Linked DNA regions of Mus musculus: regions 2, 3 and 4 are each reported to be linked to region 1. The links are microRNA targets in miRTarBase. Many come from high-throughput screens and were not tested one by one. Region 1 holds a microRNA gene; each other region holds the end of a gene's coding sequence.

The links. Region 1 holds the annotated microRNA mmu-miR-547-3p (CUUGGUACAUCUUUGAGUGAG, at 1,998-2,018, opposite strand). A microRNA usually pairs through its seed, bases 2 to 8, with sites in the 3' UTR of a target mRNA and lowers its output. Matches are read on the target gene's strand: a 7mer-m8 pairs with bases 2 to 8, a 7mer-A1 pairs with bases 2 to 7 and ends in A, and an 8mer does both.
Region 2: the mRNA of Ifitm10 is a reported target of mmu-miR-547-3p. The part of its 3' UTR that is shown has no 7-base or 8-base seed match.
Region 3: miRTarBase lists E2f2 as a target of mmu-miR-547-3p. Seed matches in the 3' UTR shown: 7mer-A1 at 1,111-1,117.
Region 4: the mRNA of Zfp42 is a reported target of mmu-miR-547-3p. Seed matches in the 3' UTR shown: 8mer at 863-870.

The regions. Positions count from the first base shown.
Region 1 is chrX:67,986,386-67,989,578 of GRCm38, forward strand. It overlaps Mir547 (microRNA 547), which reads right to left and starts at 2,066; the gene lies at 1,989-2,066. Mir201 (microRNA 201) reads right to left here and starts at 1,776; the gene lies at 1,711-1,776.
Region 2 is chr7:142,353,224-142,356,416 of GRCm38, forward strand. It overlaps Ifitm10 (interferon induced transmembrane protein 10), which reads right to left. Exons shown (of 3, transcript NM_001347541.1): 3 at 2,285-2,891. The coding sequence ends at 2,742. Among named protein-coding and RNA genes, the nearest start is that of Ifitm10, 19 kb to the right of the region's middle.
Region 3 is chr4:136,192,828-136,195,827 of GRCm38, reverse strand. E2f2 (E2F transcription factor 2) reads right to left here. Exons shown (of 7, transcript NM_177733.7): 7 at 1-3,000. The coding sequence ends at 2,791. Among named protein-coding and RNA genes, the nearest start is that of Asap3, 12 kb to the left of the region's middle.
Region 4 is chr8:43,292,837-43,296,029 of GRCm38, reverse strand. Zfp42 (zinc finger protein 42) reads left to right here. Exons shown (of 4, transcript NM_009556.3): 4 at 1-963. The coding sequence ends at 434. Among named protein-coding and RNA genes, the nearest start is that of Zfp42, 13 kb to the left of the region's middle.

The DNA.
Region 1 (3,193 bases):
TAAGTTGCTGAGAGGACTCTGATATAACTGTCTCTTGTTAGGTTATGCCAGTGCCTGACAAATACAGAAGTGGATGCTCACGGTCATCTATTGGATGGAACACAGGACCCCCAATGAAAGAGCTAGAGAAAATACCCAAGGAGCTGAAGGGGTCTGTAACCCTATAGGAAGAACAACAATATGAACTAACCAGTACCCCCAGAGCATGTATAGCAGACCTTGGCCTAGTCAGCCATCATTGGGAGGATAGGCTCTTAGTCTTGTGAAGATTATATGCCCCAGTACAGGGGAGTGCCAAGGCCAGGAAGCAGTATTGAATGGGTTAGGAAGTAGGTTTGGGGGAGGGTATAGGGGACTTTGGGGATAGCATTTGAAATGTAAATGAAGAAAATATCTAATAAAAATGTGGAAAGGAAAAAAGGAGGTAGTATTAACTTACAGTAGTTATTCTTGAGGTTCTTTTTTATTTCTGTTGGTAAATGAGATCTGTGGCAATTCTGTGTTTCTGTCATCTATATCTGCAGATTTTGACAAGTGTTATAAGGGCACTCATCTGCATACAAACATATATCTGAAACTTTAAGGTGTTAAATAGGAACAAATATGTGTTGAGCCATGCAGAGACATGGTTTTTATTGTTTTGTACCTTACCACTTAAAGATCCTCAACTCCTGAGCAATGAAACAATAATGATGCACGTATAGGATACCTGAAACAAAGAATATAATCATTTATAAGGTCTAGAATGGAGAAAATGGAAATCCCATTTCCTACTCACAGTCTAGAATGCGGAAATCCCATTTGAGTTATCAAGAAAGCTTTATGGAATAAAAAAATCATGTACTCTAAAAATGTCCATATATTGTTCTAAGTTCTTTGGTTTCCTTGACCATTCCCTTCATGCATGATGATTATCAGTATAATCTACCATCTTCTATTCTGGGATGCACACAGCTAGTTACTTGAAATTATCTCAATCTGAACTGGGAACAAATTGAAAGAAATGCCTGGACCAGTATCAGAATGAGCAAAACTGTGGCTTAAAATATGGAGAACTTACTCCTATCATTCTTTTGAAGACACATATTAGAAGTTTTAAATAGATATACTCTAGCTAAAAGCATTAGATTTGAAATAAAATGGAATATAGTAGAAGGGTTTGATGTAGTTTACAAGCAAGGGGGCATTGACATATCTCGATTCTCCTAATACAGAAATGTAACAAAACAGTACAACCTGATGCCTCTATTTATCTCTGTCTCTGTCAGTATTTCCACCTGTAATGATATGATTTTTAGCAAATAAACATAGATAGGATGTTATCAAAAGCACACAAGAATACTGAAAGAAATCAGAATGAGTTTTGTTCTTGAGGGGAAAAGTAGCATTTGCTTACATAAGAAACAAATATTGTAAAAATATCATAGAGGTACAAATTTTTATAGCTTTAAAATAATAAATGGTTTAACTATATAAAGATGTATGACTAAAAGGTGAAAGTGAACGATATATCTTGCCTTCCACTTGGTTAGTTGTAATATCAACTTGAAAGGACAAACATTTTTCTAAGAGACTCTTAGTTTCTAGATCTGGTTCCTTAAGAGGTATACAAGAGAGCACTTAGAAATAACCCAAGGCTGGATGTTCATTACTGATCTATGACTGAAACTTACTATCAATGCTACCACAAATGTTGTCCATGTTGCACATTACCCTACACAGAAAGGCACTGTTCATTTATTAATATAGAAGAACAATGCCTTACTGAGTAAGGTACTGTACACAGCATCATTGAAAGTAGCCAACTCATCTTAACATAAACACAAAGCAATGAAAAATAGATGACTCTATTCCCAGGGAACATTGCTGTCAATCCTTTCTTGTATACAGCATTCTCCAAAGTGTACTATGAGTTGAAGTAGCAAAAAAATAGCTTATGCTGAGACTCAAGCCCCTTTTCTAGGGTCAGTATTGAGGTGGTAGCTGTTGTGTGTTATCTCACTCAAAGATGTACCAAGCATGTTTCCTGTTAAATGGGTGGTACATCCTCAAGTGATACATCACACACTACATGAGTGAAGGTGCTAACACTAGTCTGTTCCCTCTGCCATTTCATCTAGTAAGCCAATACACACCCTCATTACATGAATCATCAGAAGAATCTTCTCAAAAGACACGAATGACATTCATTCCTCTTACTTCTCTTTTACCACCCCTGTCCTTCTTTTCTACCCAAGTCTTCCTTAAGTCATTTTTGTGTTCTGTCCATATAATAACATAAGAGTTTATGACTGGGAAATATCAGATATCCCCATTCATATCTTCCCTTTATAGATATAGGATAGAGTTTTCATCACCCTATACTTTGTGTACATAAAATTCAGCTCTTGCAGAATGAGTCACTTCAGTAACTCATTAGCTCCACATGTTGCAGGCTGCATTAAATTAAGTAGGAATAGTTCTGAAAAGGGTAAGCTCAGAAACTTGAGGTATTCTTATTCTAAAATGTGGATCTTGGCTTGGTATCATCTTATCCAAGATAAAAGTCCACTGCAGTGGCAGCAGCAGCCATAAACTTACAAGTCAAAAATAAAGAAAGTAAACAAGGAATACATAAAAATAAATGTGCAAGTAAAATTTAAAAAATCCTGAAAAGAGAACAAAGTAAGCAATAGGAGATCTAAACTGTCATTCAGAACTTGAAAGAATACTTATATAAAGTCACAAATAATACAGGAGTAAAAAGATCATACAAAAATGCAGTATATTCAAATACAGCTCAGAAAATTCAAGCAAAGAAAATTATAACAGTAACAACAAAAAACTACATTGTAAATATAAAAAAAAATTTCTATGAATTGTAGCATTCAAAGAAAGGGCCTAGAGACTATCTCTTTACTCATAAATACAGGATTCTTGGCTTCATTTCACACTAATTCCAGACAATACCTAAAATTAAAAACCACAAGAGTTCTTGTAGCCACCTAACGTATAGCAGGACTAGCTGGTACTCTCTGCACAGAGAAATGCTGAGTAGATACCGAAAGCATAATGAGTCTAGGCCATGGCACACTGTAATAATAGCTGGAGACAAAGCTGAGCAGCTTCTCTCCTCTCCTTCATGCCTAAATTCTTCTCTAGTTTTGGTGACATAAAATAGATGACCACAGAGAGACATATAACAAAATGCCCA
Region 2 (3,193 bases), not on the chromosome of region 1:
GGTGTGGCCTTGTTGGAGTAGGTGTGTCACTGTAGGTATGGGCTTTAAGACCCTCCTCCTAGCTGCCTAGAAGCTAGTATTCTGCTAGCAGCCTTCAGGTGAAGATGTAGAACTCTCAGCTCCTCCTGCACCATGACTGCCTGGATGCTGCCATGTTCCCACCTTGATGAAAATGGACTGAACCTCTGAACCTGTAAGCCAGCCCCAATTAAATGTTGTCTTTTTAAGAAGAGTTCTTGGTCATAGTGTCTGTGCTCAGCAATGAAAGCCCTAACTAAGACATCTTCCCTTAGGGAAGTTACTGGAAACTCAAACCAAGATATGTTTGGGTACATGTTTTTCATGCATAAGAAAACATATATAGATGGGTGTTTTGGTTGTCTCATATTTGTAGCATTTGTGAATAACATGCTATAAATATGCACATTGGATGGAAGCTACATAGAAAAAAATCTGTGATTTAAAAATCTGGAAAATAAATGCTCATTTGATCCCCACCAGCACCCCACGAGTGGGTACTTTGATAGTCATATAAGGTGGATTTTCATCCCCATGCCCCCCTTTCTTGAAAAAAAAAAGGAAGAATTATTTCAAAATAATATTTATTGTCTTATTTGCTTGTACGACTATATGTGCACTGTGTGCAAGCCGGAACTTCAGAACCCCTGGAACTGGAGTTACAGATGTTTGAAAGATGCCACATGTGTGTTGAAAACTGCACCTGAGTCTTCTGGAAGGGCAGTGCACGTGTCACTGCGGAGCCACCTCTCCAGTGTGCAGATGCCTTCTGTTGATAAGTTACAGAGGAGAAGCTGTAGTCACATGAGGGGTGTCAGGAAGATGTGGAGAGCGCTACCTGCCACACCCACCAAGCACTGGCTGACAAGGAAGTGGCTAAAAGAACAACAGCCCCATAGGAAGTGGTGAGGACTCTACTAGAGGTGACAAATATCCAGGGTGGTACAAGCTGAAGCTGCCATTGAATCTCACCATGAGCTTGGCAGCGACAAACACCAGGCAGCAGGGGAGGGAGGCATGCAGCCACAGGGGCAGAGCCTCTGATAAAAACAAGAGTGTAAACGCTTCATAACTGGCATCTCCTACCAAAAAAAAAAAAAAAAAAAAGGTGTTCTGGGAACCCTATGGCCTGCCTCCCAAGAACCAGTCCCAAGAAATACATCATTTCCCACAGATGCTAGCTATGCCATCTTTTTTTTTTTTTTTTTGAAAAGCCACCTCTCCCTGCAGCTTTGAAATAATGTGTTGGTCCCCCACCGACCCTCGCTCTGGCTGCTTGAAAGTTTTGCTCAGTGGTTAACGTTCCTGTACTGCTGTACAGCGTGCAATAGTTTTCTTATCTCTGTGCTCAAATACCTGAAGAGAAGCATCGTGATGCAGGAGTGTATTTTGACTCGTGATTTCAGAGTGGAGAGGGCATGACAGAGGGACAGGAGCTGCTTGCTTATATTTCAGTGTACCAGTTGCACTGAATTCCCGGTGACCCTGCGCTGCCCCCATCTCTCATTCTTGGTTAACCCCATCTGGTCAGAACCAGCTCAAGCTTCTGCATCTGGCCAGCCCTCCACTAACCCCACCTACACTCTCTGCCCACAGCCGGCAACGGTATCTGCTCTTGCCTGTCTTCTCCTGACACTCCCGATACCTCCAAGGGTATGATCAGAAACCGCAAAGGGTGCCAAGCGTCCACACCACTGAGCACACCATTGGCCCCTACTAGAGCCCCACAGTATCTCTTTTTTCCAAGGCCAACCAGGACCTCACAGGGTCAGGACTCGGTCCACTCTGTGCACTGTCCTGTTCCTGCCTTCCTGCTTGCTCCACCCTCAGCACATGGGGCAGCATCCTTCTGTGGGCAGCACTACTTCCTAGTGCAGCACAGCTAATCTTGACCTTTGAGCAGCCACCTTCAGTTGACAGACAGGGGAGCCTCTTTCCCCATTTCAGGGGCTAAGTGGATGAGAACCCATCAGCACCCTGTGGGTTTCCCAGGGACTGGCAGCCTGTCCCCAACACTACTGAAGGAAGCTTCTCCTGGATTCTGCACAGGGTGCATGGCTCTGTGAACCCTGTGGGGAGCCCCTCCACCTAACACCCCTCACTTTGCCATCCTACACAGCTGGCCCTCATAAGACCACTTGGTTTCTGAACACACCTCCTACGGAATTAGCTGTGTGCAGGCCCTGGGGGCATAGGCTGCAAAGCAGCACTCCAAACCTCCAAGGGACACCTAGGCCCTGCCTGGCACATGGACAGAGGCTGAAGCTGAGCTGAGCACATGTTTTAATGAAAGTTCACAGATACAAGAGCTTGGAGCAGGGGTCACAGCTTGGAGGAAGTGGGGGGTCAGGAGTGAGGGAACCCCAGGTGCTGGCAGCCCCTATTTCGGGAGCTCCCGTGTAAGCCCTTCTTGCTGGGTGTCAGGTCTGAGGGGTCCAGGATCCTGGGCAGGGTGCATGGGCCAGGGAGGGCAGCCACTGGTCACTGGGCAGCATCATGGAAGGAAGCCCATAGACCCGGTGCCAGCAGGACAGGGGCAGGCGGCAGATAGGGTGGCTGGGAAGAGTGCGCCACTCGGTCGGGCACTCAGCTTCTGGTGACCTTGCTGCCATGCATGGCTCTGGGCCTTGGTGGAAGCCCATTCTGCCCCACAATCTCAGCATCCTGAATCTCAGTGACCATCAGTCTCAGTGCTGTGTCGCCAAGACCCACTGCCTGCTAGCTCAGTAGTCAGTGAGTGGGTACCGCAGGAAAATGAAGATAAGGATGATGCAGGAGGCTGCCAGAGCAGAACTGGTGATGTTAAACAGCCGTGCTGTCTTGGCATCCTCCACAGCTCCATTCAGGTCATTCAAGAGCTTCTTGTCCCGAACCTGGAGACAAAAGGAGGAGGAAGAGAGGGAGAGGTCAGAGGAGGCACTGGAGTGGATGCCAGCAGAGAGAGAGAGAGAGAGAGAGGTTGGCCTGAGGAAGGAGGAAGGAGGAAGAAAAGAGGGAGACGTCAGAAGCCAGCAGAGGAGGGAGGCCAACAGGGAAGGAGACAGTGGCTATCAGAGAAGGAGGAAGAGAGGCAGAAGTCAGGAGAGGAAGCAGGACAGAGGCCACTGGTGGAGGTGGAAAGAGGGCAGTAGAAGAGGGAGGTTGGGATGGTGGGGAGCAGGGGGGTGAGAGTCGA
Region 3 (3,000 bases), not on the chromosome of region 1:
CTGAAGAGCCTTGTGGGAGAAGAGACGACCTGGGTGAGGTGGGGCCTCTGGGTACGACGGAAACTTAAGCCCCGGCTTCTAATCAACCCCAGAGGTTTCAGAAGCGTTAAAGCTATAGCACACCGATGGCGGCATGAGCAAACTCTTTACAACACGGAATCTGTGCAGAAGAGAGGCTGAGGCCTCACAGGGAGGGGAAACCACACTGCACCCCCTGAAATAGTTTACAAACTCCCCCAAACTCCCACTCCTCACAGCCACACAGAGAAGGGACTCAGCCTGACATCTTCAATGGTGCATCTCCAAGCCTATTTACAAGTTTAATTCTGCTAAATGCTCTGGAGTCCCCAGGGATATCAGCAGGGGACACTGGTAGGGCTGGGAAACTTCCCTGAAGAAAGTATTCCCCTCAGAAAGAAACTGGTAGCTTTCCCACCCTAGCATGAACGTTTCCCTAGGGCCTAAAAGACATACCACTCAAAACAGTGTTCCAAAAGGGGTACACCCCGTTCTTTTAAAGCACTCTAAGGAACTTAAAGAGGTCTCAAGTATCATTGGCAAGAAAGAGGTGTGAGCTTGTTCCCACGCTAGCCTCGGGCTTCTCCCGGGAGGTCCAGCCCCTGGACCAGGCAGGGTTGATAAGAAAGAGCTCAGAGATCAAAAAGACTGGGGAAGCCTCCATCCATCCCTGCGCTGGGTCTTTTGACTGAACTTGAATCTGGACTGTATTCTTAACCTCACACCAGACAGGAATGGCAGCCCTCTTCTCGCTAAGCCAAGCTCTCCTCCACCCAGAGCCCAAGGCACAGAGGTCAGATATCTCTGTTGGCGCACAGCTAAACGGCAAAGACCAGGAAACAGCAATGCTGTCTCCGGCCTCATGTGCATCAAACCAGATCTCAGGTAGCACCCTCATCACTCAAGGGACCCCCTGTGTCTAGAGCACACTGGGCTTTCTGGGTGGTCTGAGAAACCCCCCTCGCTTGGTAGAGACCAAGGACATCTCTGCAGCAGGTGTATCTAACCTGCAGCACGGGTCGCAGACACCTACGAACACAGCCCAACACAGAGTTGTAAACGTACTTCAAACATCATGAGATTTTTTTTTTTTTTGGTAGCTTATCTATGCAGTTCCTGAGGGTGAACTTTAGAGACGACGAGGTCACATATGTCAAAAGGTTGGACACTCGGTGTAAAAATAGACAAATTTCAAGTGTGTGTGGGGGGGGGTGAGTCGCTGACCACTCCTCGGACAGGACTAAGTTTGTGGCACCAGGAAGCTGACTCGAGGATAAGACAAATTAACCCAAATGGGCACCAGTACATATTAGCTCAACATCCAAACTTCAAATTCCCAGTCAGCTAGCTCGGACCTACCTGGCATAGCCAACTTCATCTTTTAAATCAATTTAATGCTACAAACTTAAAACAACAACAAGCAAAAAGTGCTGCCCCACTGAGCCCCTGAGAAACCCAGGCTCCCTGAGGGTAGGTGGAAGGCCTCTCAGACCCCGTCACCCCTGGGTACACCTCTCTGGACACGTGGCCTTGGTTAAGCCCATTCTCCATGCCTGGAAAGGCGAGGAAGAAAAGCGGACTCTTGCCGTCTCCTGACCACAGGAACCCTGGATGGTCAGTCTATGGGCAGAACAAGAGAGACCAAGAGCTCTTCCCAGATCCCCATGCCAGGAGAGGTGGCAGGCGCCAGCCTATCCCGTCATGAGCTGCTGAGGCCTAGTCTGCAGGGAAGAGCACCCCACCCCTGCCCCCTCACCCCCGAAGCACTCCAGTGGGGAAAGGTGCAAACCTGTCACCAAGCTCCTGTCACATCTGACCTTGGAAGTGAAGTGAGGGCTTTGGGACAGTGGGTGTTTAAGGAATCTTCCCCCTCCAACTGCAACCAAGAAACAAAAATAATCCTCCCAGGGAAACATGGGCAGACCCCAGGGTGTTTCTTGTTTTCTTCTCACTCCTCTCTGCCTCCACCTTCCAGGTCTCTGACCTCCTGAGGAAGGGCATCTAGGAGGCACGGGCGTGGCCTCCTGCTTTTCCCAGGAGCTCTTCTGGGCTAATTCCTGAAGGCCTACATTTACATTGGGAGGCTCAGGAAAGATAAGACATCCAATAGGAAGCCAGCCCCCTTGGCTACCTCCCCCAGAGTAGCTACTGGAACTTTCTCTAGGATGGAGGAGATGGAGAATTCCAAGCCGGTGCCTTGGCTGGGCCTGGCATTTTCTAAAATTACAAAGCCTAAGTGCAATTAATTCAAGCAAACTGGATAGTCCCCTCAAGACCCAGGCACCACTGGGGGGACGGGGGGACGGGGGGCAAGGAGCTGGCCTAGACCCCTGGAAGCCCAGATGTGCGCTTAGGCACTGGGCGTGGGTGGGCCTGTCTGAGGAGAAACTAGAACAAATCTCCCTGCTAAAACTCAGGGTGGACAAACAAACACATCTGAACTAGAAATAAATACAAAGGCGTTAAGTGCTTCTTGAAAAAGTCAGGGTCCCCCTGCCCCTCAGAAGGAGGCAGTGAGCCCTTTCCCTGAACATGGCCACCTGCACCCGTAGTCCTTCATGAAGGGGTCGGAGGTCAGAAGAGGAGGGTCAGGGCTTAGCCCTGATATCACTCCCCAGCCGAATCCTCCACATCTCCCTAGCTGGCCTCCGCCCTAAGGAAGGCTGGAAGAGAGCCGCGCAGACGGAGGGTGACACCTGGTGTCTGGTGTCCCCCATCTGGGCAGAGAGCCTGTCAATCTGTCTGTGAGGAGGTAGACAGATGCAGGACGCTTCAATTAATCAACAGGTCCCCAAGGTCATAGGAGTCGAAGAGGTCACTGATGCCTTCCCCCTCGTCCATGCCCCACAGGTATTCGTCCTGGTCCAAGGGCGGGGAGAAGCTGATCAGGGGGGAGTTGGCCGCCAGGATTGGGGACAGGAACTGGTCCTCAGTCTGTTGTAGAAGAGGGTGTGACAGCTCCAGCATGTTGTCAGTGGCTTC
Region 4 (3,193 bases), not on the chromosome of region 1:
GGGCGAGCTCATTACTTGCAGGCGGCCCTGCAGAGAAGCCAGAGGGCGGTGTGTACTGTGGTGTCTTATCGATGCTGGAGTGTCCTCAAGCCGGGTGCAAGAAGAAGCTGAGGGATAAAACCGCCCTGAGGAAGCACATGCTTGTCCACGGGCCCCGGCGGCACGTGTGTGCAGAGTGTGGCAAAGCCTTCACGGAGAGCTCGAAACTAAAGCGACATTTTCTGGTGCACACCGGAGAGAAGCCGTATCAGTGCACGTTCGAAGGCTGTGGGAAGCGCTTCTCCCTGGATTTCAACTTGCGCACCCATATCCGCATCCACACCGGGGAGAGGCGCTTTGTGTGTCCTTTTGATGGCTGCGAGAAGAGCTTTATTCAGTCAAATAACCAGAAGATTCACATCCTAACCCACGCAAAGGCCGGGAAGAAATGCTGAAGGTGGAGACAGATTGTCCTCAGGCTGGGTAGTCTTAATGACAGAGGCACTGGGGATACACGCATTATGTACAGATTGTTATTTGTAGGGATAGATTCTATGGCTAAAATAATTTTGCAACTCTTCATTATACAGTTTTAAGGCCTCTTTTGGTATTCCATGGTATAGTTCCAACAGGAAAGTCAATGGTGAAAGCAGTTTCAAAAGCATAACCCTTACTATATGTGCTATTGAAGGGGATGGGGACTTTTGCATACGTCGGAAAATCAGTTATTTTTAACTATGCAGTTCCTAATTGCCTAGCTTTTACCTTTAGAAATATGCTTCATGGTAAATTTGATAATCCTAAAGAATGGCCAACTTTGGCAGTAGTCAACAAATGAATACATATTTCTAAATTTTATGTTTTGATTTTTGTTTTTCTCATTGTACCAAACTATATTAATCATAGTTAAATGTGAATAGTTACAAAAAAGTTGATCCATCTGAAGATTTTAGATGTTTCAAAATAAAAGGAAATAAAACACTAGAAATGAGTTCAATTTCTGGGGAAAAAAAAGTGCATTAAGAAGACAATAGCCAGTCATAGTGAGTGGTTCATAGCACTCAGGAGGCCGAGGCAGGCAGATCTTTGAAATTGAAGCCAGCCTGGTCAGCCCTGCCTCTGGGCTCAGCTAAAGCTCTATAGAGGTACCCTGTCTCAAAAAAAGAGAGACAGACACAGAGCACTTCAGAAAGGGTGGGGTGTGGTGGTATACATCTTTGATCCCAGCATCCAGAAAGTATAGGCAGACAGATCTCAGTGAGTCTGAGACCAACCTCGTTCATACACAACAGCAAATGTCATGTCAGCTCAGCCAGAACTAACAATGAGACTTTCCCAAAGGAGAGTGACTAGCATTCAATATTGATACACCAGTCCATTAGGGAGAGGTTGTCGAAGCTATTTTGCTATCATTTCCAGGCGTTCTCTCAAACTTTTGAAGTCCACCAGTCCACAATGACAAAAAATCTACCTCAAACACCAGAAATGTATGCTCTTGTAGTTATGGAGGCTAGGAAGCCACCAGTCTAAAAGCAAAGGATTGCTCTCCTGAGTGGTGGACATTCATGTTATGAGTTTACTACAATCAAATAGTACTTCCCAGAACGGGCCAAGATTTTGTTTCCCACTGTGCTGTGTCATGGAGCATCATTGGCCCCTCCTGTTTCTTTGTGCTGAGTAACGCTCCGCCCTGAAGACCTCCTCTTACACATCTATGAAAAGACCTCTCTTCAGATAAGATCACATGATCTGGTTCCGAAGTCCTGGGAGTTCAAGGTTTTTTAATGTCTGAATATTGAGGAGGATACAAACCCATAAATTCTGTGCAGTCCTCTTGGCCCAGTCATTTTTATTTCTAGAGTTCTTTAGAAGTGCTTAGAGTCATGTTTGAAAGTATTTCCTCAAGGATATTAAGGAAGTTCTATTTGATTGTGGTAAATTCATAACATAAATGTCCACTCAGTAAAAACATTTACCCTAAATCATGCTAGGTCTCCTCAATGAAATATGCAAATGCTTTAAAGGACCCTACAAAGGGAAATGGGGAAAAGGGTCATGTCGAGAGGGGACCCATAATTAAGGAGCTTTGTTGTTTATAATAGATAGGATAAACTTGAGTGCATGCTAGGAAAGGAATTCGAAGCAGTTAAATGCGGACAAAGGAAAAGGTAGTGAGGAACTCTATTATAGGATTAACTTATTTGTATTTGTATAGTTGTGAAGTGAAATGAGAAAATGAGCATCCATTGAACCTGCACCCCCACCTGCCAGTCAATGTAAGTGACTTGGTTCTGGTAAAAATGCCACAGTTCAGCTTTAGTTAGATGCTACTTTTTTGAAGATTCACCATATCCCTGGAAGTTAAAGCACATATTTTAGGAAAAGAAAAAGGGATGAATGACGACTATCAATTAATCTTGATTTCTTTATAAATGCCAAAGTTTAAAAGCAACCTGTCTTTGAAAAATCAGAGCCTATAGTTTGACTTCAATGTGAAGTTTTTGCTAATATGGACTATTACAGAATGTTAACTAGTATATATTTGGTAGGACAATTCTATCATTTTTATAGGAATGTGGATCCTGAAACTCTAGATTAATATCAGTAAAGTAGTGCACAAAAGCCATTCATAAATTTCAATTTTCTTCTAAATCTAACACCTGCATACAGAACTTAAGGCAAGTTTAATCAAGGTGATGGATCATGTGCCTAGCTGGTGTTTGCTTCTGCCAGCCTTGTGTCTGACTCCATCCTTTATGGATTCTAGTTTCAGAGTAAAGATTAAAGACCAACCAGAAGATGCAGAGATTAGGGAGCAGGCTCTTCAGACTGGAGCCTCAGAGCACTCAGAAGGGTAAGGTTGGCTCTCCTTGTAAAGGTGGGTCTGCTCTGAGCTCCTTTCACGAGAAAAAGTCTCTAGAAGTTACAAGATGTTCCTATCTGGATTTTGAGGCCTAGAAAATGGGATTTTATGTGTCTAGCGTGGCCCTTCTGTCTCTTCTCCCCGAAGATGTAGGTGGAATAGCAAAGGTAGAGGACATGGAAAAGAGGCTAGGTATTGAGGGGTCACACTTGGAATACTTTCTAGTGTTTTAGTTTTTATTTTATGTGCATTGGTTTTGTCTGCATGTGAGGGTATTGGATCCCCTGGAACTGGTGTTTAGAGCTGCCATGTGGGTACCAGGGTCCTCTGGAGGAGTAGCCACTGAGCTAT